Linked DNA regions of Caenorhabditis elegans. The protein of the gene in region 1 purifies or fractionates together with the protein of each later gene. This does not show direct contact. Each region holds a gene or a part of one and is shown in the gene's direction. Other genes may lie near its edges. The genes, in order: nex-1, got-2.2, memo-1 and Y54F10AM.8.

Region 1 (4,022 bases):
TGGTCCCGAACTGCTGTGAAAAAAGTATGTACCTTTAAAGAATACAGTTAGAGAGTGGGAACTACCGTACTCCTCTAAGAAGCACAATTTCTTTTTAAATCTTTGGCCGTTTTCCAACATAAATGTTGTAACTTTAAATCTAAACATTCATATTGTTCTTTTTTGAATTCAAACAAAATAACGTTTGCAACATGTGTATAGTCCGTTCTCTCTGTTTTCCAATTGTTCCCCAAAAAGGTCAATTCATCTGAACATGCTACTACATCAAGACCAATCCGTTTCTTGAACTTTTTTATTCTCCTCTCCATTAATAAAATCCCATTTAATGTACAGTTATTAACTTCCTATACTTTTGAAAATACTCTCCAAATCCTTTTATTCCCTCAATACCAACCAAAAAAAAAGATTGGCCACAGTTATATACGCGGTCTTTTTCAATTTATGTTGACAAATTTGATCGTTGACCAATGGCCTTGTGAACCATTCAAATTCCACATAGTATACATCAACAAGAACATTTGCATATGCCACGGAAGTAATATATGGCTATTCCACATATTTTGATAAAACTCTCAGTTATCTAGAAAATGAAACGCCGCGAATAGAGTTATCTAAGCAACTCGTAGGAATGCTTAACAAAAAATTTAAAACGCTTCATCTAATTTCTCGGCATTTGGCGACTCATAAAATATTAACTCAGTTTAGAAGTTGACAAAACTAGGGCTAAACTTCGAAAATACTTGGAAAATACTTTAGGCCGTGCCAAAGTTTATCTCAAATTTCATCCAATTCTTGCCAAAACCTTACCCAAGTTCAAACCAACTCACTAGTCAAAAACAAATTCGTATCAAAGATTGGCCCGGCTTAAACTAAGTCTGGGCAAGGTATGGCGCAAGTTTATAAAAGGAACTTTTCCAATAAATCTTTGAAAAATCGTAGAAAATCCGTTTCGAGAAACTTTGGGCCAGTTTCAAAAAAGGTTGAACTGCCCGAAATTGTTCACGAAATTTCATTTCAGTCAACATTGAAGGGCAAGCTCTCAAAAACTTGACTTTAATTTGTTCATTTTTCTAATAACACAAAATTTCTTAGTCATGCTCTCCTCGTTTTTGCATTTCTTACCAAAAAAACTCTGTTTTTTTCATCACAAAAATTTCTAATTTTCACAATTTTTGTTTCTACCCATACACCATGAATCATCCTCTCTCTCTCTCTCTCCGTTACACATCAACTAGAACACTACACCGATCGTACAGGTCATTCAATGTGCGAACGGACACAAAAAATTGGTAGAAGATCGGTGCCTGTTGGTGTCCCTGAACCGGCAGGAAAAATGTTTGTTGGAGGGAAAACAACAAGGAAATCGATCCCTCATTTCGGGACTCCAGTTAAAAAACAAGAAATGATAGCATGAAATTTGAGAAACGAGAGAAGATGCTGGTTTTTTCGCTTCTAAATTAAAATTCACCCCCATAAACACTTTTGGTATGGACCTGAAGAGGTGTTACATTAGATCATTTATATGAATTCTAAATTTAGAATTTAGAACCTATATAACCTAATGAGTCATAACTTTCGCAATTTTCGTTTAATTTCAATTTTTTCAATTGCCTCAAAAAAAAGACAAAGAAGATCCAATATTATCTGTATTTCATCATCCGCCTATGTTTCTTCTCCACTGTTTTCTGTTGTTTTTGTTTTCTCTCTCAATCTCTATCTCTCCTATCGTTTGCGATGAATCACCCTCTTGGCTCCGCCCATTTTCTCCCCCAGCGGCGCTCTTCCTTTTAGTCGTCCCCAGATGCCCCTCTTTACCACTCAGTGAACAGTCATTTTTGTTTCAGTGTTGTCATTTCATTTTGCTTATCAGTTGACGGTTTTCTTGTCCAGAAATATGTTCATTTATTTCTCTCTGGCCAGGATTGGAACAAGTGCCTGGATTTTTCCATTTCAAAAAAGATTACAAACATCCTATATATAAGTAGATATTTTCACTTAACCCATAAACAAAAATTAATTATATAATTGTTTAAAACATTCTTGAAAAACATGGCGTAATTTGTGATGCACTACCCGCAAACACCGCAAGAATGCGTACCAACTGTATACAGTAGTAAACAAACTGTGTAAACAAATTTGTATTCGCCGAATTTTTTAAAAACAAAAAACTGAAAAATATAAATATTAGACGCCATCTCATTTATCCATTCATTTTCTTCCATTTTTCTGCTTCTTTCTTACTTTTAAAACCTAATAATTACACGTTTGTTTCCAGAATGACTTCCCCATACGCTACAATCGTCGACGCTAGAGAGTTCAATGCTCCGATGTTCGCTGAGAAGATCGACCGTGCTCTTCGTGCCGGAGAGAAGGACGCTGTTGTCAACGTCATCACCTCGATCTCCAACGCTCAGCGCCAGCAGCTCCGCGAGCCATACAAGCTCAAGTACGGAAAGGACATCATCCAGGCTCTTGACAAGAAGTTCTCTGGAGATCTCGAGAAGGCCATCTTCGCTCTCATGGAAACTCCATTGGATTATGATGTGAAGCAGCTTAAGGCTGCCATGAAGGGATTGGGAACTGACGAGGCTGTGCTCATCGAGATTTTGTGCTCCAGAACTGTTGATCAACTCCGCGCCATTCGTGTGACCTACGAGAAGGAGTATGGAAAGGCTTTGGAAGCTGACATCGCTGGAGATACTTCTGGAGAATTCCGTGATCTTTTGGTCAGCTTGGTCACTGGATCCAAAGACGGATCTCATGATACCAACGACGCTCAGGCCAAGGATGTAAGTTTTCTTTATTTTTTCACTGTGATCAATTATTCATTTTCTTATTTTAGGATGCTGTTCGCCTGTTCGCCGACGGAAAAGCCAAGCTTGCCAAGAAGGACGGAACACACTTCCTTCACATCCTCGCCACTCAAAATCAATACCAGCTCCGCAAGGTCTTCGCCTACTTCCAGGAACTCGCTGGTGGCTCTATCGAGAAAAGCATCGAGAAGGAGTTTTCCGGAGATCTCCAGAAATCCTACCTCACCATTGTCCGTGCCGCTTCCGACAAGCAGAAGTTCTTCGCTCAGCAGCTCCACGCTTCCATGAAAGGACTCGGAACTCGCGATAACGACTTGATCCGTGTCATCGTCACTCGTTCCGAAGTCGACTTGGAGCTCATCAAGGCCGAATTCCAAGAGCTCTACTCTAAGAGCTTGGCCGACACAGTGAAGGGAGACACTTCTGGAGCCTACCGTGACGCTCTGCTCTCCATCATCAATGGAAACCACGCTACTGCCCACTAGATGCTGAAATTGACAAACCCAAGCTTTACTTCATTAATTTCGTATTAAAATTCACTTTTCAACCCCTAAAATGTTACCTGCATTCCTCTCCTAATATGTACCAGACTGGATTGTATTTTTTATGTTCAAATGTCGCATTTTGTAATAAAAATCTTAAAAAAAAATCTGCGTTCACAAAATGAATTTTCATTCAACAGAAAAAAAATTAAAAATCAACAAAAACAAGTAAAAACGGAAGAGATCATTATGTTTTACTCTTCATCCATGGAGGATCCCTTCTTTTTTGTCCTTTTCCTCTTTCCTGAAGCAGTTCTCTCTCCAGTTCTGACGATATCCACAGACGCTTTCATAATTTTCTTCTTGCACGACAATGGATTGACTCCTTTTTTCTTTTTCTTCTTCTTCAATTCTTGTTGGCCGATCAGCGCATTTTTTAACTCCTTTAGCTTCTTGATTTCGGATTCTTCTTTAGAACAGCCAGCCTTTGTAGCTTCAGAAATCTGAAACGTAAAATGTTTTTTCCAGTACACTCAGTTTTTAAAAACTCACATTATCAAGTAGCACAGTCTTAAATTTGATGTACATAATCGGTGTTCCAACGATTGCTCTCAGCTTTTCAGTTAATTCATCGTCCTGGGTTGCAATCAAATATTTGGTTTTTCCACTTGCAGCTCGCCGAGCTAAATGAGCAAGACAGTCAGAAGCCGCTCGGGGAGTTGAATGT
Region 2 (4,758 bases), on another chromosome or scaffold:
CCTCGATGACTTCTTTCTCGAGTTGGAAACGTTTTCCTGGAGTAGGATGCGACATTATTCAATGCGAGTCAGGCAAGAATGAACGGTTCTTCTCGAGAAAGGCAACCTTTTTAGCCTTGACATCGTTCATATCGTGTCCTAGAAATCTCATCTCTTCCCGACAACAGATCCTGTTCTAGGCCGGTCTCGATTCCGCGATACGAAACCTCCCGGAGACAATAGATCCTTTTCTCTAGGCTAGGCAAAATTTGGAGTTTCTTTCATATTTATCGCAAAAATCATTTTGCACTCAAATCGAGAGAAAAATTGAGAGAAACAAAGGACTCAAAATGTTTACGGATGTCCACGTGAAAGTCACACAAATGTTGAACAATTTGTAAATTTGTAACACAAAGTGAATTACACAAAATTCGGGCGACAATCTAAAAGTAATTTTCAAAAAACTCTATCTGAACACTACAGGTTAGTGTGACGTGTGCTAGGTTTTGTTTATCAGAATTGAATGTATTGAAGTTTGCTCACAAGAGGTAATCCAAAATGATAACACTATACTCACAGGCAGTTCAGTTGTAAACGTTTTTGTTTCCAGATGTTAGAAAAATTTTTTAAACCATCTTACAATTTACATTTTATTTTATCGACCGTGGATGCGCTATAATTTCCGACAAGCAATTCAACAAAAAATAAAAATTATACCTTAGTTAAAGATTATAGAAAACTGGTTGCTTTATCTGAAAATCATTTTCCTTTTATTTGGAACAATCGAAAAAAAAACTCAAAAATTGTCCTAATCTTTGAAAATGACGGGAAAAAACTCCAACACTTTGGTGGATTCCTTTCCAGAATATATCCGAAATTCTTCACACAATTTTGAGCGGTTTTCCAAACGTCCAAACGTTAATATAAAAACCATTTTTCATTAACTTTTTTCTATGTTTTATATTTTTTCTGTACTTTAAATTTATTTTTTTTTGCTATCCCAAATTCAATTTTTGAAGTAAGACACCATCTTGAATTTTAAGACTTCCAATATCCGTGTGCCACCAGCACTTTTGACCTACCAACCTGTGTTCTCCGGCCGCGCGCGGACAATATCGAACCTTTGAGAGTGACGAACCACAACAACAACCAAATTTTTTTTCATTTATCTTGTTGGCCTCAGTTTTTCCTTGCCTTTTTACAGTCATTAGTCGCTTTTTTTCCGTTCATCAAAAATTCTTTGAGATTTTTTTTTGCGAACACGGTGCTGCTAATAGAAAAGTTTAAAAAATTATATTATTTAAACAAATAATTTCACGACCGAAGTACGGCGATTTTCTTATATTTTTTTTCGAACGCAGTTTACTTACTGTTTACCAGTTCTCGAGCGCCGAGTTACACAAAAACGACTGAATCGTCGAACCGCATGTTTCTCACGTTGCCGCGGCCGCCCGAGTTTTCCTCTGCCACCCTACACTCTCTCGAATCTCCGTACTCTCTAACCTAGTTTCTCCAGTTCTTCTCACTTGTCGTCTTCCTTGCCAGTTCGTGGACTGGGATAAGATGAGCAGACGCGTCCATTCTTTCATAGGCGGTGCAGTCGGTCCATTTTGTTGTTTCACATCAGTTGTTTTTGATAGAGTCAATAAGTTTAACTACAATTTTAGCCTAGTTTGATGCCACGCCGTTGCTAAAGGCTAGAAATGTGGTTAGTACCCTGAATGGAGTGTCCTAGGGTATCTTTTTTGAATTTAAAAAAAGTGTCCAATCAGCCCATTCAAACACCATTGAACACTCAAATAATTGTCCTGGTAAAGATAATGATACCCACGTTTTATTTTATTTTTGTTTCTTCGGATAAGGAATCATGCGTTGTACGTACTCTAGTCTTCCCTGCTATCAATGTTTCGTTGCTTCATTCTAATCGGAACGTGATTTCCACGCCTACTTTCAAAACGTCTTTTAAGTTCCCACTCGAAACATTAATATTGAATATTCAGGTAATCTTTCTCCAATCAACAATGAGCGTTTCCAAGAAGCTTTTCTCTACCGCCGTGCGAGGAAAGTCGTGGTGGTCGCATGTTGAGATGGGACCACCAGATGCGATTCTTGGAGTCACCGAGGCCTTCAAAGCCGATTCAAACCCAAAGAAGATCAACCTTGGAGTCGGAGCTTACCGTGACGATCAAGGAAAGCCATTTGTTCTCCCATCGGTCAAGGAAGCTGAACGTCAAGTGATCGCTGCCAATCTTGATAAGGAGTACGCCGGAATTGTTGGTGAGTGTTATAAACTTATTGATCCATTTGAACTCTTTATTTGTTTGCAGGACTTCCCGAGTTCACCAAGCTCTCTGCTCAACTCGCTCTTGGAGAGAACTCTGATGTGATCAAGAACAAGAGAATCTTCACCACTCAGAGCATTTCTGGAACTGGAGCCCTTAGAATCGGATCTGAGTTCCTTTCTAAGTACGCCAAGACCAAGGTTATCTACCAGCCAACACCAACTTGGGGAAACCATGTTCCAATCTTCAAATTTGCCGGAGTCGATGTCAAGCAATACCGCTATTATGACAAGTCCACCTGTGGTTTTGATGAAACTGGAGCACTCGCTGACATTGCTCAAATCCCGGAAGGATCCACAATCTTGCTTCACGCTTGTGCTCACAACCCAACTGGAGTTGATCCATCCCGTGACCAGTGGAAGAAGATCTCCGACATTGTGAAGAAACGCAACTTGTTTGTCTTCTTCGATATGGCTTACCAAGGTTTCGCTTCCGGAGATGTTGACAATGACGCGTTCGCTGTTCGTTACTTTGTCGAGCAAGGACACAACATTGTTCTCTCTCAATCCTTTGCCAAGAACATGGGACTTTATGGTGAGTTTACATACTAATTTGTTAAATTTGAATTTTACAAGCTGGAGTTCAATACGAAATGTATTGTTTTTGTGCAATAGAGCGCAGTTTCTTCTTGGTGTTGGAAGTTAGGCCATGATAACGCGGATATCACTGGTGTCGCATTATCCTATCTTTTCTACCCTTTTGTAGCCCTAACCCTGAATACTGCATAATTTTTATAATTTATTCTGTTTAAGGTGAACGAGTCGGTGCTTTCTCCGTTGTTACCTCGGACGCTGATGAGGCTGCTCGTGTTGCTTCTCAAGTCAAGATCCTTATTCGCCCACTCTACTCCAACCCACCAGTCCATGGAGCTCGCATTGCTTCCCGCATCCTCGCGGATCCAGCTCTCAACAAGCAATGGCTCGGAGATGTCAAGCTCATGGCTGATCGTATCATCACCATGAGAACTACGCTCAAGGATTTGCTCGCCAAGGAGGGATCTACTCGTAATTGGGAGCACATTACCAACCAAATTGGAATGTTCTGCTTTACTGGAATCAACCCACAACAAGTTGAGAAGCTTATCAAGGAACACTCTGTCTACCTCACCAAGGACGGACGTATCTCGGTGGCGGGAATTTCATCGAACAATGTCGCTTACCTTGCCCACGCTCTCCACCAAGTCACCAAGTAAATCAGTGACAAATGCACTCTTCCCATTTTAACTTATTCTATCTGTCATAATAGAATAATTTTCTCGTTTTCGGTTTTCTTATTCTCCGGTTGTAGAATGGCAGTATGCTTTATCTCATTTTTATTTGTAGCCTGTTTTTTTTCTGAGAATGGGAACTTTTAATAAATTGGGTTTCGACCTTAATCTTTACTGGAGTTGGTTATTGAAAAATGATATGCACGATATTTGTTTAGCAATTACGTTAATTCAATTATTCGATTCTGAAACGTTGTGTTTCTAACTGTTTTGAAAGAAATATAATTGTCAGTTTTCTGAAAACGAAAAATTAAAAAAAATTAATATCACTTTCAAATTTAAATTTATTTAGTTGGAAGTGTGCTTACAATGAATGGTATAACACGCACATATTTTGAGTTCTCTGAAACCATAAGATTTTCGAGGAAAAAGACAAAGTATTTTTATAAAATCAAATTATGTTAAATACATTAGAGAGTTAAATACATAATTATTTAACAAAATTTTCAGAAACTTTTCGACTTCAGATAAACGCATCGGTGTGGTTTTCTGAAACATGGGCGTAGAGTTCTGGTATTTAATTCTGCAAATTCAAGTCACGGTCATGGGTCAAAATAAATTGGTTAGAAAATCTATTTTTTTTTCAAAAATTATTTCAGCTTGTTTTCAAAATGCCTTATAAAAACTGAAACCAAAGATTACAAAATCATACCTGGACAGAACTCAAACTAGCCGTGAATTTTCAGATGGTATTTAGCTCGTCGCAAATCAACAACTTACTTCCAGTCAACTGCTCAAATAATATATACGAAATTGGTTCCAGTAGATTTCAAGACGATAAGTGGGATAAGCTGAGAAAATGGGCAAGCCTCGCGCAATGAATTTTCAGAGTCCAGTACTTCCTACGTTAATGGATCCTCCATTATATCTCAACTCGAAGTTGTTAATGAGCGCATCTATATCGGCCGCCGAATCAAGCCGACAACCATCCAATGGCGGGCCTCTACCGATGACGCCAAGCAGCTTGGGCTGCATAATTAAATTAAAAAAAAAAAAAACAAAAAGCATAATTTGAGAAAACAGGTTCCCTCAGTAACAAGAAAATCTGTTTGATTCTATTTGATTCCTCCAGTTCTTGCTGCATTCAAAAGTCCCAAAAAGGCTTCGGTGAAACATTTCCGAATGGGCAAAAATTACGCTGGTCTATCAAGACTGTAAAACTTTAGACTG
Region 3 (5,564 bases), on another chromosome or scaffold:
CTAACTTTTTTCCGCAATGTTTCAGAATGTTTTGGGTTATTTTTCTCAATATTTTTTCGAATTTTCTCCGAACTCCTTCATCTTGGAAGCTGAAAGGATGGGGTGTCATGGAACTAGCAAATGTAAAGCATCCATGGTAGGCAGGCACATCTTCAGGCGCACGTGGTGTCAGAGTGTCATGCTCGGTTTGATTTACGTAAAACTACGAGAATTGCGGACTTCACATTTTTTTGGGGAAAATTTGTTGAATTATTTTTGTAGAACAAGCGTCCCTTTCTCGTACCTGTTAGTTACAATAGTCATTTTGGCGTGATCTTCGGTGTTTTGTTTATCGATACAGTGCGAATTCAAAATGCAAATATTCCCGATTTTTATCCAGAACAAAAAATAAGTCACTGGCTGATTTTTCGTTGCCTTTTGCATTAAGGAGTACTGTAGTTTCCAGATCCGTCGTTGGTCGTTTTATAGTAAATAAGTTTTTCAATAAATTTTGAGAAAACAAGAGAAAAGCTATTGAAATCAAAATTAAAAATTTCTATGTAGTTCTACCACAACAAGGATGCTCTAGTTGGGAACTTTAGTGCTCGTTGAGACGCACACTCGTTTGCTTTTGATAAATCGATCCTGTCGAAACCCAACACAGTATTTTCTGAGAAAAATATACATATTGCATCTGGGTACAACTTGGTCCAGAAAAGTTACAATGTAATTGTTTTTCTATTTTCCCACGATCACTTTACATTTTCCGTTCCCTTACATAAATTTTCACCTATAAAAATGAACAAACATGGATCGACCGAACTGACGACCCGGGGCGGAGAGCGGGCAAAGCGAGGAAGAGAGTGAGAGCGTTTTGTGAGCGAGCGTCAGGCCAGGCAGTCAGCTGAGTGTCTCTGCCTCCCCACTCACGTTCGATTTCTCGTGTACTTCTTGCCCGTGACCCGTTGTGAGATGTCTCACGTTTTAGTCTTTTTTATCTTGTTTAATTGCCCCATTTCACTTTCAAGTACTCATTTATTACTTTTTTCGTTTTTTGGATAGTTATTTTTCCAAAATTAATTTTTGATTGAAAATATAAAGAATCTACATTCTAATTTAATCAAACAATTTTCTTCATAATTGTTTTTGAACCCCGTGAAAAATGTATAAAGATTCAAAGTCAAATCAAAGATATAGGCGTATTGCGTGACCAAACATTTTCTCGTTTTCCCTTCCCAGCAGCCACCGAGTGAGTGTTTTTCTACCACAGCAATGTGAGCGAATGTGAGCGTCAAAAGAGAGTGTCTTTTTCTCTTTTTTTTGCATTTTCGTCTAAAAGTAGAAACGAAGATAAATGAAAGGGCTGAATGAGGGCTGGATGGACCCGATGACCGCTGAAAAGTGCATTGTTCAGAACTGGAATATGGGAATATTTCGGGGGAAAAAGTATTAGGCAACGAGAAAAACAATCATTCGTGTCTAAATACCTGCCGTAGGTGTAAACAAGACGGAATGGAAGATGGATGATACGAAGTAAATATTGACTCCGTGGTTTACATTTTCAGCTGAAAATACTTACGGCTCTTAGAAATAGGCTTGATACGCATAGATTTTATACCGAAAAATGTTCAGTGTACCAGGAAAATTTAGACAATTTCTTTCAGAAAACTTTGCAAAGCTTATTATTAGTTACAATTGTTATAAAATGAAGAATGCCAAAAATCAAGTTTTATATTGAAAGTCAAATAGGCATGAGGCAGGTATGTAGGCATGAAACTTTGCCTGCCTATAATGGAAGACATAAACGAGTGAACACGAAATAAAGTAGTGAACACGAAATTTTAAAAAAAAAAAGGCAGATTTTCTACAAACCTACCACTTTTTCCATTCTTGGAACTCCCCTTCTTGGCCCTCTTCCAATATTCAAGTGCGAAAAAGACTGAAACAGTGGCCCCTCTAGTGTCAAATGTCTGCCGATTCCATTGTTCTCGTTCTATTTCACTGCCTCCCCTATTGTGTTCTTTCTCCCATCACCCAATACTCTCTTTTTAGTCTTCTTTTTCTTCTAAATACTATCGGCTGGTGTTGTAGAAGAGCGTCTTTCCTTTCATTCTTTTGGCATGCATCCTCATCCCTCTTCATTATTATTATTATGATTATTATATGGCATTGCTTCAGGCAGCCAGTTTCACATCACAAAAAGTGTCAAATTTTCAGGTAATTGGTAGACTGAAGACTACTCGCGGCGGTCCGACAAGACGACGACGACCAGCACAAGATCAGCGCGGTCCTCTTCAATACCATCCACGTCGAGACACGTCGAACGCGAAACAGTCAAACTGTTTGACAGAACCCTCAAATCACTCCCTTCACACATTCTTTTTACGGGTAATTTCAGACATTTTTGGGTGGAATGCAAAGTTTTAAAACGTTTTTCTTATGATTATTTGTATGGGTAGCTTTTTGAAAGAAGCCTCTAAAAAATTTCAGGCGCGCTCTGACGGAAACTTGACGGCGATGTTTAATATTCAAAGTTTCTCTACGTCTCCCGAGTTTAAAAATTTTATATTCTTGGTCTTGATGCGCAGTTTGGATTGGAGCCTACATTTCGTTTTTGAAAAGTGTATTTTAAAACAGGCCCACAATCATGATTATCTTGATTGTTTAATTTTAGTCACGAGACCATCTCAATTTTTGAATAACGGTGACCTTTTGTCAAAAGAAAATTTCAAAGGATTCCACAATCTATTTCAATTTCGTCTTTTTAGACCGAATCTTCTTTGAACAATTATGCGTTCAGCAAAAATGAAAATTGGCTGCGAACACGAACAAGATTCGTCTGACCATGTCCACGTGGCGGGCTTCACTCGGGAACACAATTTTGGTTTTTTGTCTCAAGGTTCTGAAACTTTCGAAAAAAAGCACACACTTTGCAAAATGCTTTTTTTTTGAAAAAAAAACCAAAATCAGCATTTTTGGATTTTCACTTTTTTCTCAAAATTTTCCTTCGTTTTTTTTTTGGAAAGAAATCAGTTTTCAAAACTGAAATTCAATGAAAAAAAAAACACTTTTTTGTTGCATCAACATTTTCGGATTGCCACATTTTGCTCTAAATTGTTCTTGATTTTTTTTGGACAAAAAATGTTTTCAGAATAGATAATAGTTTAAAATTCAGTTCAAAAAACAAAATAGAAGCAAATCCTGTTGTTGCAGGTATTTCAAAACTCTCGTGCTCTATTTCTCAGGACATTTGGCCTTCCTTTTGCAAGATATCTGAATTTTATTTTGTAAGTGTTTCTCGGAAATTATTCAGAATGAAAAACCAGATTCCCATTTCTATTTCGGACATAAACCAAATTAAAAATTTATTTTCTTTCGAGCCAGTTCCCCGGACTTGATTCGAATTCGTGAAGTAGAGCTAGCCCGATGGCTCATATTTTTAGAACATCTTGAATTAAGTGTGATGTTACACTGTATTGTGAATTTTAATATTAATTAATTAAAATTATTTGAATATTTAAATTCAAACTTTTCCATTTTTCAATGTTGACTATTTGGGAAACACACAGTAGTTGAAAACCCTACTAAACATATTAATCAAGTCGTATACAACAATTTATCAAAACTTTAATATTCAGACCATCTGAATTTAAAATGTCACTAAACGGATTCGGCGAGCACACGAGATCTGCCTCACATGCCGGATCATGGTACAACGCCAACCAGCGAGATCTTGATCGGCAACTCACAAAATGGCTTGACAACGCCGGTCCACGGATTGGAACGGCTCGAGCGTTGATTTCACCGTAATACTCTAAATGCATTTAATATTTATTTTCTGATAACTTTCAGACATGCGGGATATTCGTATTGTGGAGAAACAGCTGCATATGCTTTCAAACAAGTTGTTTCATCAGCAGTGTGAGTTGTTGAAATTTGTACTTGGCAACAGGGCTTACTCAATAACTTTCAGTGAAAGAGTCTTCATTCTTGGCCCATCTCACGTTGTTGCTCTAAATGGATGTGCTATAACCACATGCAGCAAGTACAGAACTCCACTCGGCGACTTGATCGTTGATCACAAAAGTAATCTATTGCACTCTTAGTACATCTTTTACAACATTGCCCTTTGCAGTTAACGAGGAGCTTCGTGCCACTCGTCATTTCGATTTGATGGATCGCCGAGATGAAGAATCAGAGCATAGTATTGAAATGCAACTCCCATTTATTGCAAAGGTTATGGGTTCAAAACGTTACACCATTGTTCCGGTACTTGTTGGATCTTTACCAGGATCTAGGCAGCAAACGTATGGAAATATTTTTGCTCATTACATGGAGGATCCAAGAAACTTGTTTGTGATCTCTTCGGACTTTTGCCATTGGGGAGAACGCTTCAGCTTTTCTCCGTACGATCGTCATAGTTCTATTCCGATTTATGAGCAGATAACCAATATGGATAAGCAGGGAATGAGCGCAATTGAGACGCTTAATCCGGCAGCTTTTAATGACTACCTCAAAAAGACCCAGAACACGATTTGTGGGCGTAATCCGATATTGATAATGCTGCAAGCAGCCGAACATTTCCGGATCAGTAACAATCACACTCACGAGTTTAGATTCTTGCATTACACACAATCAAACAAGGTAGAGATTCAGAATTGCTTAATATTTTTCAATCAACAATAAATCCATTTCAGGTTCGATCATCGGTCGATTCTTCTGTTTCTTATGCTTCAGGAGTTCTATTTGTACATCCAAACTGACATCCCGCCAGTCCTTCACTCTTTTTTCTACGTATTTTCTTTTGCAACTACTGTCTTCTTCCTGAATTGTTGTGTAATATGTGTAAATTGAAAATCTGTTTATAGGCTCTTTTCTCCTTCTATTCAGGATTCGAGCACAGTTAATTGTGTTACTTCATCAACTTTTCACCTCCACCTAAATTTTCGAATTTTCTCCCATTCCGATTGAAAACTTTCGAACTATTCAAATGATATTTCCAACTTTATTGTGATTGGCAAATAAACAATTAATTCACATTTCAGCTTTAATATACAGAAATCTTTAAAGCTAGACCCTCCATTATTTAATGGGACCGTAGACAATGTAGGTGGGCTTGGTACCATTGACACCATCCAAATCCTTATCAGCAGCTCCCGAGAAGAATGAGCTAGCATCGACAATGTTCACCTCTTGCTCGGCGATTGGAGTTGCGTACGCTAGTATGAATTTCCCATCGATTTCTATTTTACAGTTCAGGTCACCGGCAAAATTAATTTTTGCGACGAAGTCCGAATGAGCAGCGACTGATTCGAAAGTTGTTCCGAATTTTTTTTCGGCTTGCTGAAATTTGGTGGATATTTTAAGCTTATTCAAGTTGTAATTCAAGTCGTAATTCAAGTTGTAAGCTTATTCAATTCTAGGGAAGAGCACATTACATTATAAAATGAAATCCATAAACCCCACCGCTTGCACTGCAGTTGCCATTTTCTGTACATTGCACAGTGATGCACCATCTGCTTTTGCGGCCAGGTACGCGTCTTCCATAGTTTTCTCAAGTGTCACGTTACAGCAAAGGAATCCCG
Region 4 (7,354 bases), 2.7 Mb from region 1:
CGACACCTCACGGGTCAATTATTTCGGCCACCCTTGAGATGTCTGCCACTAGCAGCAAAACCGGCAAACGTCGGCGGCTCAACAGCAGTCCTACTAGCTTGAAAGTCGAACAGTGAGTTGACCGACACCTGACCCGCGAGACGTCGGCTGCTCAAAAAAAACTTACCCCAGTTTTCTGATCTGGCCACACACACTTTCCCCAGCTGCTCCAGTTGCTGCAAACATCCGTTCTTGTAGCGTCCGAGTAGACTGCTGCTAGCTGGGAGGACACTGAAAATTATACATACAAATCAAATTGGTCTACAGTACCTCTACAGTACTCCTACAGTACCTTTCAGCACCTCATAGTCTCTAGGAATGTTTTGGAGAAATACAATTTTTGTTTTTTGTTCACTGTTTTTTGTTGATAGCCCCGACCGGTACTCTACAGTAGTCGCTACACTACACTGTCGCTACGGTACTCCTATAATAGGCATACAGTATCCTTGCACTACCCCTACAGTACCCTAGCTACAGTATCCCTACAGTACTCCTACAACACCCATTTAGTAACTTTCTTAACTTTCTTCCAGGCTCTGTAACTCGCGAACAAAAAGTGATACGAAAAAAATGTCAATTGGCAAAATGGTAAGCACGTTTTAATAAGTATTTCGTTAGTTGACAACATTTTGTTAGCACTCACAATGTTTAAGTTACAGAACCTTAACGAAAAAAATATGTAAAAATTCCAAAAAATTACAAACATTCTTTCCAAACCATGCAATTCACTAACGGAAAATGATATCAAAATTGTGTCAACTAACAAAATAATAAGTAGTAGTGCCTTAAAGCTCACAGCTACAAAAAAGGGAAAAAATCAGCCGGTAACACCTTTGAGCCCACAAGAAATCGTAGAGTTCGAGTTTCAGATGTTATAAGTTTTCAATTCAAAAAAAAAAAAACGAACCAAGTATAGGAAGCAAGCAGAAGCCGAGGAGAAGTCTCATTCGTGAAGAGATGATCTCATAAACTAGTGAGAATAGATGTATCTTCAAAGAAGAACGGATCAACACACGGGAAGGGAGGAGACCACTTACATGACCGAAAGAGGTCAATCATTATAAAAACGGCGACAGCTATGTGTATTCGTCCACTTATTGCCTTTCGATCTGCCCCTTGGTTTGAATGATGAGGATTTGCAAGGAGATTAGAGAAGTAGCCGGATGCGCCCCTGTATTATCTCCCACCCGAAACTGCTTACAAGTTTTCCGTTCAAGTACTGGAACCGTACTTCCGTATTTTATTGAGGAAAGGTGGGGGGGGGGGGGTATATGTAGGTTGAACCTTGAACCCCGGGGCAACTTGGAATTAGGAAGTGAAAATGGAAAATAAGATTTAAAGAATATCAAGTGGTGGTTCAGAACAATTTTTGGATCCAAAATAAATATAGCAATGTAGAAAAAGGTTTGCTCCATCTAAAAATAACATTTATTTTTATTGAAAAGCTTGAAAAAGACCTCAAATATTACCTGAAAGTGGTCGTTTGTCGAAAAAGTGCCATTAATAGTTTTTCGGCAAACGGCAACTTTCAGGCAATATTTGAGGTCTTTTTCGAGCTTTTCAATAAAAATAAATGTTATTTTGAGATGGAACAAATCTTTTTCTACATTGCTATATTAATTTTGGATTCCAAAAGTTGGATTATCATGTTGAAATAAGCAGTTTTTTGCGTTTGCCGAAAAAAAAATGCCACACAGCCCTGATCTCAACGCTTCGATATTTTCAGAAAAATCAATCAATTTTTGCCATTCGGCTATTTTATAGAGTTCTGGGACGCACTGGGTAAAAAACACGGAAATTTTGGCCGGGCCAGTACACGCGTGTCCAATAAATTTCCATGTTCTCCCCATCAAATTTGATCAGGAGATAACCGAACAACGGGTATCAGTCTGATTGCACTGTGCTCCGTTAACTGATAACGTCGTCTCTCTGTACACTGTCTCATTATCATTCTGATAGATTGATGATAATGAAAACCATTTTCATTCGCAATTCTTCCCGATTTTAGGCCAATTTTTTGATTTTTTCTTCTCTATTTTCAGTTAGTGATGTTTGATATTTTTCAGAAATGAAGTTACTCTTCTTTCTCTTTGGGTTAATATTTGCTGTAGAGCAAGAAAAACCATATCTCGATAATAATGTGAGTTTTTTAAGCCGGTGGCTTAGTTTTCTAAGTTTTTCTCGCCCATGTAGCGAGTCGAGCTAAAAATAGAAATTTTCAGAAACTTAAAGTGACAACACGTTTTGCTCAATTTATCGAAAGAATCCAAGCTTCAGAACCGAAGCTTGAGCTTAAGCCTAGCCCCAACCCTAAATCTGAGCCTACGCCTATGCCTATGCCTATGCCTAAGCCTAAACCTATTCCTAAGCCTAAGCCTCAGCCTAAGCCTAAATCTACCCGCTATGGACATAAATCTACGTAACTGTGTTTGAGAGCCTAAGCCTAGACCAAGCCAAGAAGATTCCGGCAAGTAAAAGTGAGCAAAAAGTGTTGTCAATTTTAGGTGTCACTATAAATACAACTAATCGAAAAATTTTCAGAGAGTCCCAGTTGAGCAAATCCTGAATGACCATTCTTCGGCCAAATTCGACTATACCTATGTGTCAGTCTGTGTAAACTCTACAGATGAGACTCTTTTGGATATTGTGTGAGTTTATTTTTCAGTTTTTGAGACCCATTATTTGTTGGGCAGTGAAAATAAATGAAATCTAACATATAATATTTCCAAAGCGAACCTGTGGGACGTCGGCCGCTATAACTTTTTCCTAAGTGAAGATATAGACAAGTGTTAAACTAAAAAGTGCAAGAATACATTTACCAATTGGAAAATTTCAACCAAATTGTCTAGATTCTGAGTTACTGCTGTCTGAAAATATATCAAGCACCGAAACCAAACCCATGCAGTGTCGGCCACTAATAGAGCGTGAAAATCCCGTCAAGTGTCGGCTGCTTGATTTTTATCAAGCTATTTAAATATGGTCAACTAAAAATTAAGTTTGATTCATAGAACTTTACAGTTTAATTACAAGTATAAATTCATCATCCATAAACTTTAGAAACTTAAACTTTTTCAGATACGCCAAGGAATGCAAAAACGCAGCATCCCGTGTTGCTCTGGGAAAATACTCAAACCAGGTGAACACCACCGGATGGGGAATTCTCGAGATTGAAACATTCGCCAGTCACTCATATGATGTTCAAGCATACGGAGCAGGAGTTGCAGAAGGAGAGCTCACTCGCCTTCAAATCTACTATCACTATCGTAATACTATTGAGACAATGTGCAATAATCATACGTATGTTGGTTTTGTTTCAATCTAAGTCAAAAGCTTTTGAATGAGCTCCAACCAATCAGCGTTTTGTTAGGAGGCGGAGCCAACGTCTCTAATTGGTCGGTTGCTCAATTTCCCACTAATTTCAGCTTGTTCTGCAAACGTCTCTACATTTATCTTCAACAAAATTTGGACTGGATGAGAAGCCAAGTTCAGGCCAATCCACCGACGGATCCATTCTGGCGTCAGGTCAATTTGACATTTGCTCAGCTCACCGGAATCTACGATGCCTATAGCAAGAGAAATTTGACACCAGAAATCGGATTTGATCTTCACCCAATTTAGTGAGTTTAGTAGTGGTAAAAACTGGCTTAAGCTTGGGCTTAGGCTTATGCATGGGATTAGGCTTAGGCTTAGGCAACTAAGTCCAACTATCTGGGTTTCTTAATGCCATGTGACGTCACGCCTTTCCTAAGCGCGACCGCCAAGGTTTCTAGGCCACGAGACCTTTCTATACTCACTACGTGATAAATCTTCCAGCATGATGCAACTAGCCGGAGATATGTTTGACCTGAACAAGCTTCTCAACAAAACCGCCGACCCGATGGAGTACCCAGAAGGTGGAAGATGCTCCGGATTCGTCAAACTTGCTCCAGGGAACAAGGACATGTTCATGGCTCATGTCTCAATGTCTTCTCTCAGTTGGATGCAGAGAGTTCTCAAAATTTACAAGTTCGGATATGACGTCAACGAGGTTCCCGGGCATATTGTTACTTTCTCCGGGTACCCGGGAGTATTGATTTCCACCGATGACTACACTATCACCTCTGCTGGATTGGTAAGTGGGTCTGTGTAGGCATGCATGCCTGCCTGAAGCCTATGCATTTATGATCTTACAGACCTCTATCGAAACGACAATTGCGATTTTCAACCAAACCCTGTATACTGACAAGTTCATGAAACCAGAAGGACAAGTTCACTGCTGGATCCGATCGATGATCTCGAACTTGCTCTCAAGAACCGGGAAACAATGGGTTGACATGTTCGGACGGTACAATTCAGGAACCTATAACAATCAGTGGACGGTGTTGGATTGGAAACAATTCACTCCTGAGAAGGAGCTCCCCGACAAGGATGTTCTTTGGATTTCCGAGCAGACACCGTGAGTAGGCACCTAAGCAAACAAGCAGTAATCCCTCAAAATTTCAGTGGCTACTACGAGACCCGTGACATGACATGGTACCTGAAGAAGTACACCTATTTCGCCTCTTACAACATTCCATTCCTTCCAAAAGTCAGCGAGATCTCCGGTTTTGACAACAAGGCCAGACAATTTGCATGGTTCGATTGGGGAGGCTCCCCACGTGCAAGAATCTTTGATAGAGATCATTCAAAAGTCACTGATATTGATTCATTGACAAAATTGATGAGATACAATGATTATACTCATGAGGAGTTTGCAAGATGCAAGTGCACACCCAATCCGTATACTGGAGAGGTAAAAATTTTTTTTGGTATCTTAAAAATGAACCGAGATATAGGCTGCCAAAGTTGAATAGTTCTAGATTTGCACATGGTGCATCGATCTCTAAACTTTGAAAGCCGATATCTCAGTTGTAATCAGTTTTATCAAAAAGTTGTCAATTGTCAAAACTTTGGTTATTTCTTTTTCTATAATTTTGTAGTTTAAAACTTGTTGGTATATCAAAAATAAGCCGAGATTTGAGCTTCTAAAGATAAGGAGTTCTAGTTTTGCACGTGGTGCATCGGTCTCTGAACTTTGTCAGGCCATATCTCAGCTATCTTCGGTTTTATCAAAAAGTTATCAATTGACAAAATGTTTGTTAGTTCTTTCTCTATAATTTTGTAGTTGAAATTTTATTGATATCTCAAAAATGAACCGAGATATAGGCTGCCAAAGTTGAATAGTTCTAGAGTTGCACATGGTGCATCGCAGGGCTGAGCGGCTGGCAAGTCGGCTGGTAGAGCATTTTTAAAGTTTTCACAGGGTCAACAAAAAACGATTTTAAAGTAATTATAAAATTCTAATAAGTAGACCCACGGGACAGTTTTTTCAAAAAAAAAATCGAAAAAAAATCAGTCACCGTTCTGATACGGCTTAAAGTTCTCAGGTGTCGGCTGTCGGCTGTCGGCTGTCGGCTGGTAGATTCAAAAAACGTGCTTATTAAACGTGTGTACAGGTTTTTTTTCGAAATTTTTTGTTTAATAGCTAGCTCAGGGGACGCTCTATTCAACTGAAATAACTATTTCCAAATTAGTAACTTCTTACACACTGTAAACTTTAAAAATGCTCTACCAGCCGACTCACCAGCCGCACAGCCCTGGTGCATCGATCTCTAAACTTCGACATATTATATTTCGGCTCCCTTTTTTAATCAAAAATTGTCTACTAACAAGGTTTTCTGTTAATTATTATTCTATAACTTTGCAACTTAACATTTTATGCCTGCCTGGCTACATGCCTACCTGCCTGCCTGCCAGGTGTTAATTGAAGCCTGAAAAGCTTGACTATTCTCTAAAAAGTTAACTATTTCCAGGGAGGTATCTCTGCTCGTGGTGATTTGAACACTCCCGGAGGTACTTACGAAGTCGAATCAATGGGATTCAGAGATCATGCTGGACTTGATTTTAAGGGAACCAACTATGAAATGTTCAAGAAAATGAGATTCCGTGCATGGGGTGGACCACCATATGATCCTCTTCCAGTTTTTGAGTAAGTTCCTGGCATTTTATTGAGTTTTCAACTAAAGTTTTCACGTTTCAATTTATTTTTTAAAACTTCCAAAAAAAACTGGGAAGTTTTATATTTTAAAAATTTCAAACTAAATTTTGGCGGGAAACTGCAATTTTTCTAATTTTCCAAAAGGTTTTTCGACAGGAAATTTCAAATATTGAAGTTCCCAACGCATTTTTTGCCGAAATTCAAAAAAAAAATCAATTTGAAATTGAAATGTTTAGTGGAATTAGTGGAATTTTAAAAATTCAAATTTTCAACTCAACTAATTATTTTCAGCTGGAATCACACAAATCTAACAAACGTTCGTCACTTTGGTCAGCCAGATGTCTGGAATTTTACCTATGTTGATTTGGAATGGCAACTTGCAGCACAAGTTCAACTGACACCATATGATAATTAGATTTCTACCCCATTTTTATTCTGATGACCCAATTTTTATACATTTTAAATCAATTTTTCACTCCTAAATTTTGGTGTAGAAGCTTTTAATGAAACGGTTTTTCGAAACGAAATGAAATTCGAGTGGATGGTTAGTCTGACCTCAAAAGAGTTGGCAGTTAAGTTTAATGAAGCAAAGAACTGAAAGAAACCGTCTTTATGGGAACACCCATTTCTTCTCTTCTCCTCCAGGTTTTTAAACTTTAAAAAAATGAACTTCTACAGGTTTGAACCGATACCGAAAATAGAAAAATGTTAGACGAAAAAATAAAATTTTAGACGAAAAAATAAAATGTCATAGCTTACAAAGGCAAGGCGTTTTCGGCTGTTGGAGGGATATTAGTTTGGGGTTAGTAGGGGGATATGGGCGGGGTACTGTAGTAGTACTGTAGGAGTACGGTAGGATTACTGTAGTTTGGGAAAAATTGTGTTTTTGTCTTTTGAAGAGATATAGGTTTGGGGTTAGTAGTGGGATATGGTCGGGGTACTGTAGTAGTTCTGTAGAGGTACTGTAGGAGTACTGTAGGATTACTGTAGTTTAGGAAAAATTGAGTTTTTTCTTTTGAAGAGATAAAGGTTTGGAGTTATTAATGGGATATGGTCGGGGTACTGTAGTAGAACTGTAGAGGTACTGTAGGAGTACTGTAGGATTACTGTAGTTTAGGAAAAATTGACTTTCCGTCTTTGGAAGGGAAATTGGAAACTTCGGGAAAATTCTGAAATGTTCCAGAACCTTCTGGGAATTTCTGGAAAATTCTAGAATGTTCCAGAACCTTCTGGAAAATTCTAGAAAATTCTGGAATGTTCCAGAACCTTCTGGAAAATTCGAAAAAATTCTGGATTGTT

What was found.
Region 2: the proteins of nex-1 (region 1) and got-2.2 fractionate together in Caenorhabditis elegans (co-fractionation; one large-scale study listed by BioGRID). This does not show direct contact.
Region 3: the proteins of nex-1 (region 1) and memo-1 fractionate together in Caenorhabditis elegans (co-fractionation; one large-scale study listed by BioGRID). This does not show direct contact.
Region 4: the proteins of nex-1 (region 1) and Y54F10AM.8 fractionate together in Caenorhabditis elegans (co-fractionation; one large-scale study listed by BioGRID). This does not show direct contact.

The regions. Positions count from the first base shown.
Region 1 is NC_003281.10:5,223,348-5,227,369, forward strand, and holds nex-1 (Annexin), read left to right. Parts: upstream 1-2,273; 5' UTR 2,274-2,276; coding exon 2,277-2,789; intron 2,790-2,842; coding exon 2,843-3,298; 3' UTR 3,299-3,457; downstream 3,458-4,022. Other genes in the region: C34E10.10 (rRNA-processing protein UTP23 homolog), read right to left, coding at 3,550-3,798, 3,848-4,022.
Region 2 is NC_003284.9:6,239,004-6,243,761, forward strand, and holds got-2.2 (Aspartate aminotransferase), read left to right. Parts: upstream 1-1,979; 5' UTR 1,980-2,000; coding exon 2,001-2,256; intron 2,257-2,306; coding exon 2,307-2,855; intron 2,856-3,073; coding exon 3,074-3,513; 3' UTR 3,514-3,706; downstream 3,707-4,758. Other genes in the region: rml-3 (dTDP-4-dehydrorhamnose 3,5-epimerase), read right to left, coding at 1-55.
Region 3 is NC_003283.11:7,843,797-7,849,360, reverse strand, and holds memo-1 (Protein memo-1 homolog), read left to right. Parts: upstream 1-2,367; intron 2,368-2,747; 5' UTR 2,748-2,824; coding exon 2,825-2,878; intron 2,879-3,192; coding exon 3,193-3,266; intron 3,267-3,617; coding exon 3,618-3,785; intron 3,786-3,831; coding exon 3,832-3,900; intron 3,901-3,952; coding exon 3,953-4,065; intron 4,066-4,114; coding exon 4,115-4,623; intron 4,624-4,676; coding exon 4,677-4,742; downstream 4,743-5,564. Other genes in the region: grd-8 (Ground-like domain-containing protein), read right to left, coding at 5,062-5,322, 5,446-5,564. UniProt on the Caenorhabditis elegans protein: Plays a role in the oxidative stress response and the maintenance of longevity by regulating the interaction between GTPase rho-1 and oxidase bli-3. In turn, this serves to modulate bli-3 activity and the control of reactive oxygen species production.
Region 4 is NC_003281.10:2,502,724-2,510,077, reverse strand, and holds Y54F10AM.8 (Putative phospholipase B-like 3), read left to right. Parts: upstream 1-2,105; 5' UTR 2,106-2,107; coding exon 2,108-2,179; intron 2,180-2,580; coding exon 2,581-2,687; intron 2,688-3,114; coding exon 3,115-3,336; intron 3,337-3,461; coding exon 3,462-3,656; intron 3,657-3,852; coding exon 3,853-4,150; intron 4,151-4,211; coding exon 4,212-4,474; intron 4,475-4,521; coding exon 4,522-4,810; intron 4,811-5,870; coding exon 5,871-6,046; intron 6,047-6,346; coding exon 6,347-6,470; 3' UTR 6,471-6,659; downstream 6,660-7,354. Other genes in the region: Y54F10AM.6 (uncharacterized protein), read right to left, coding at 167-270, 947-986. UniProt on the Caenorhabditis elegans protein: Putative phospholipase.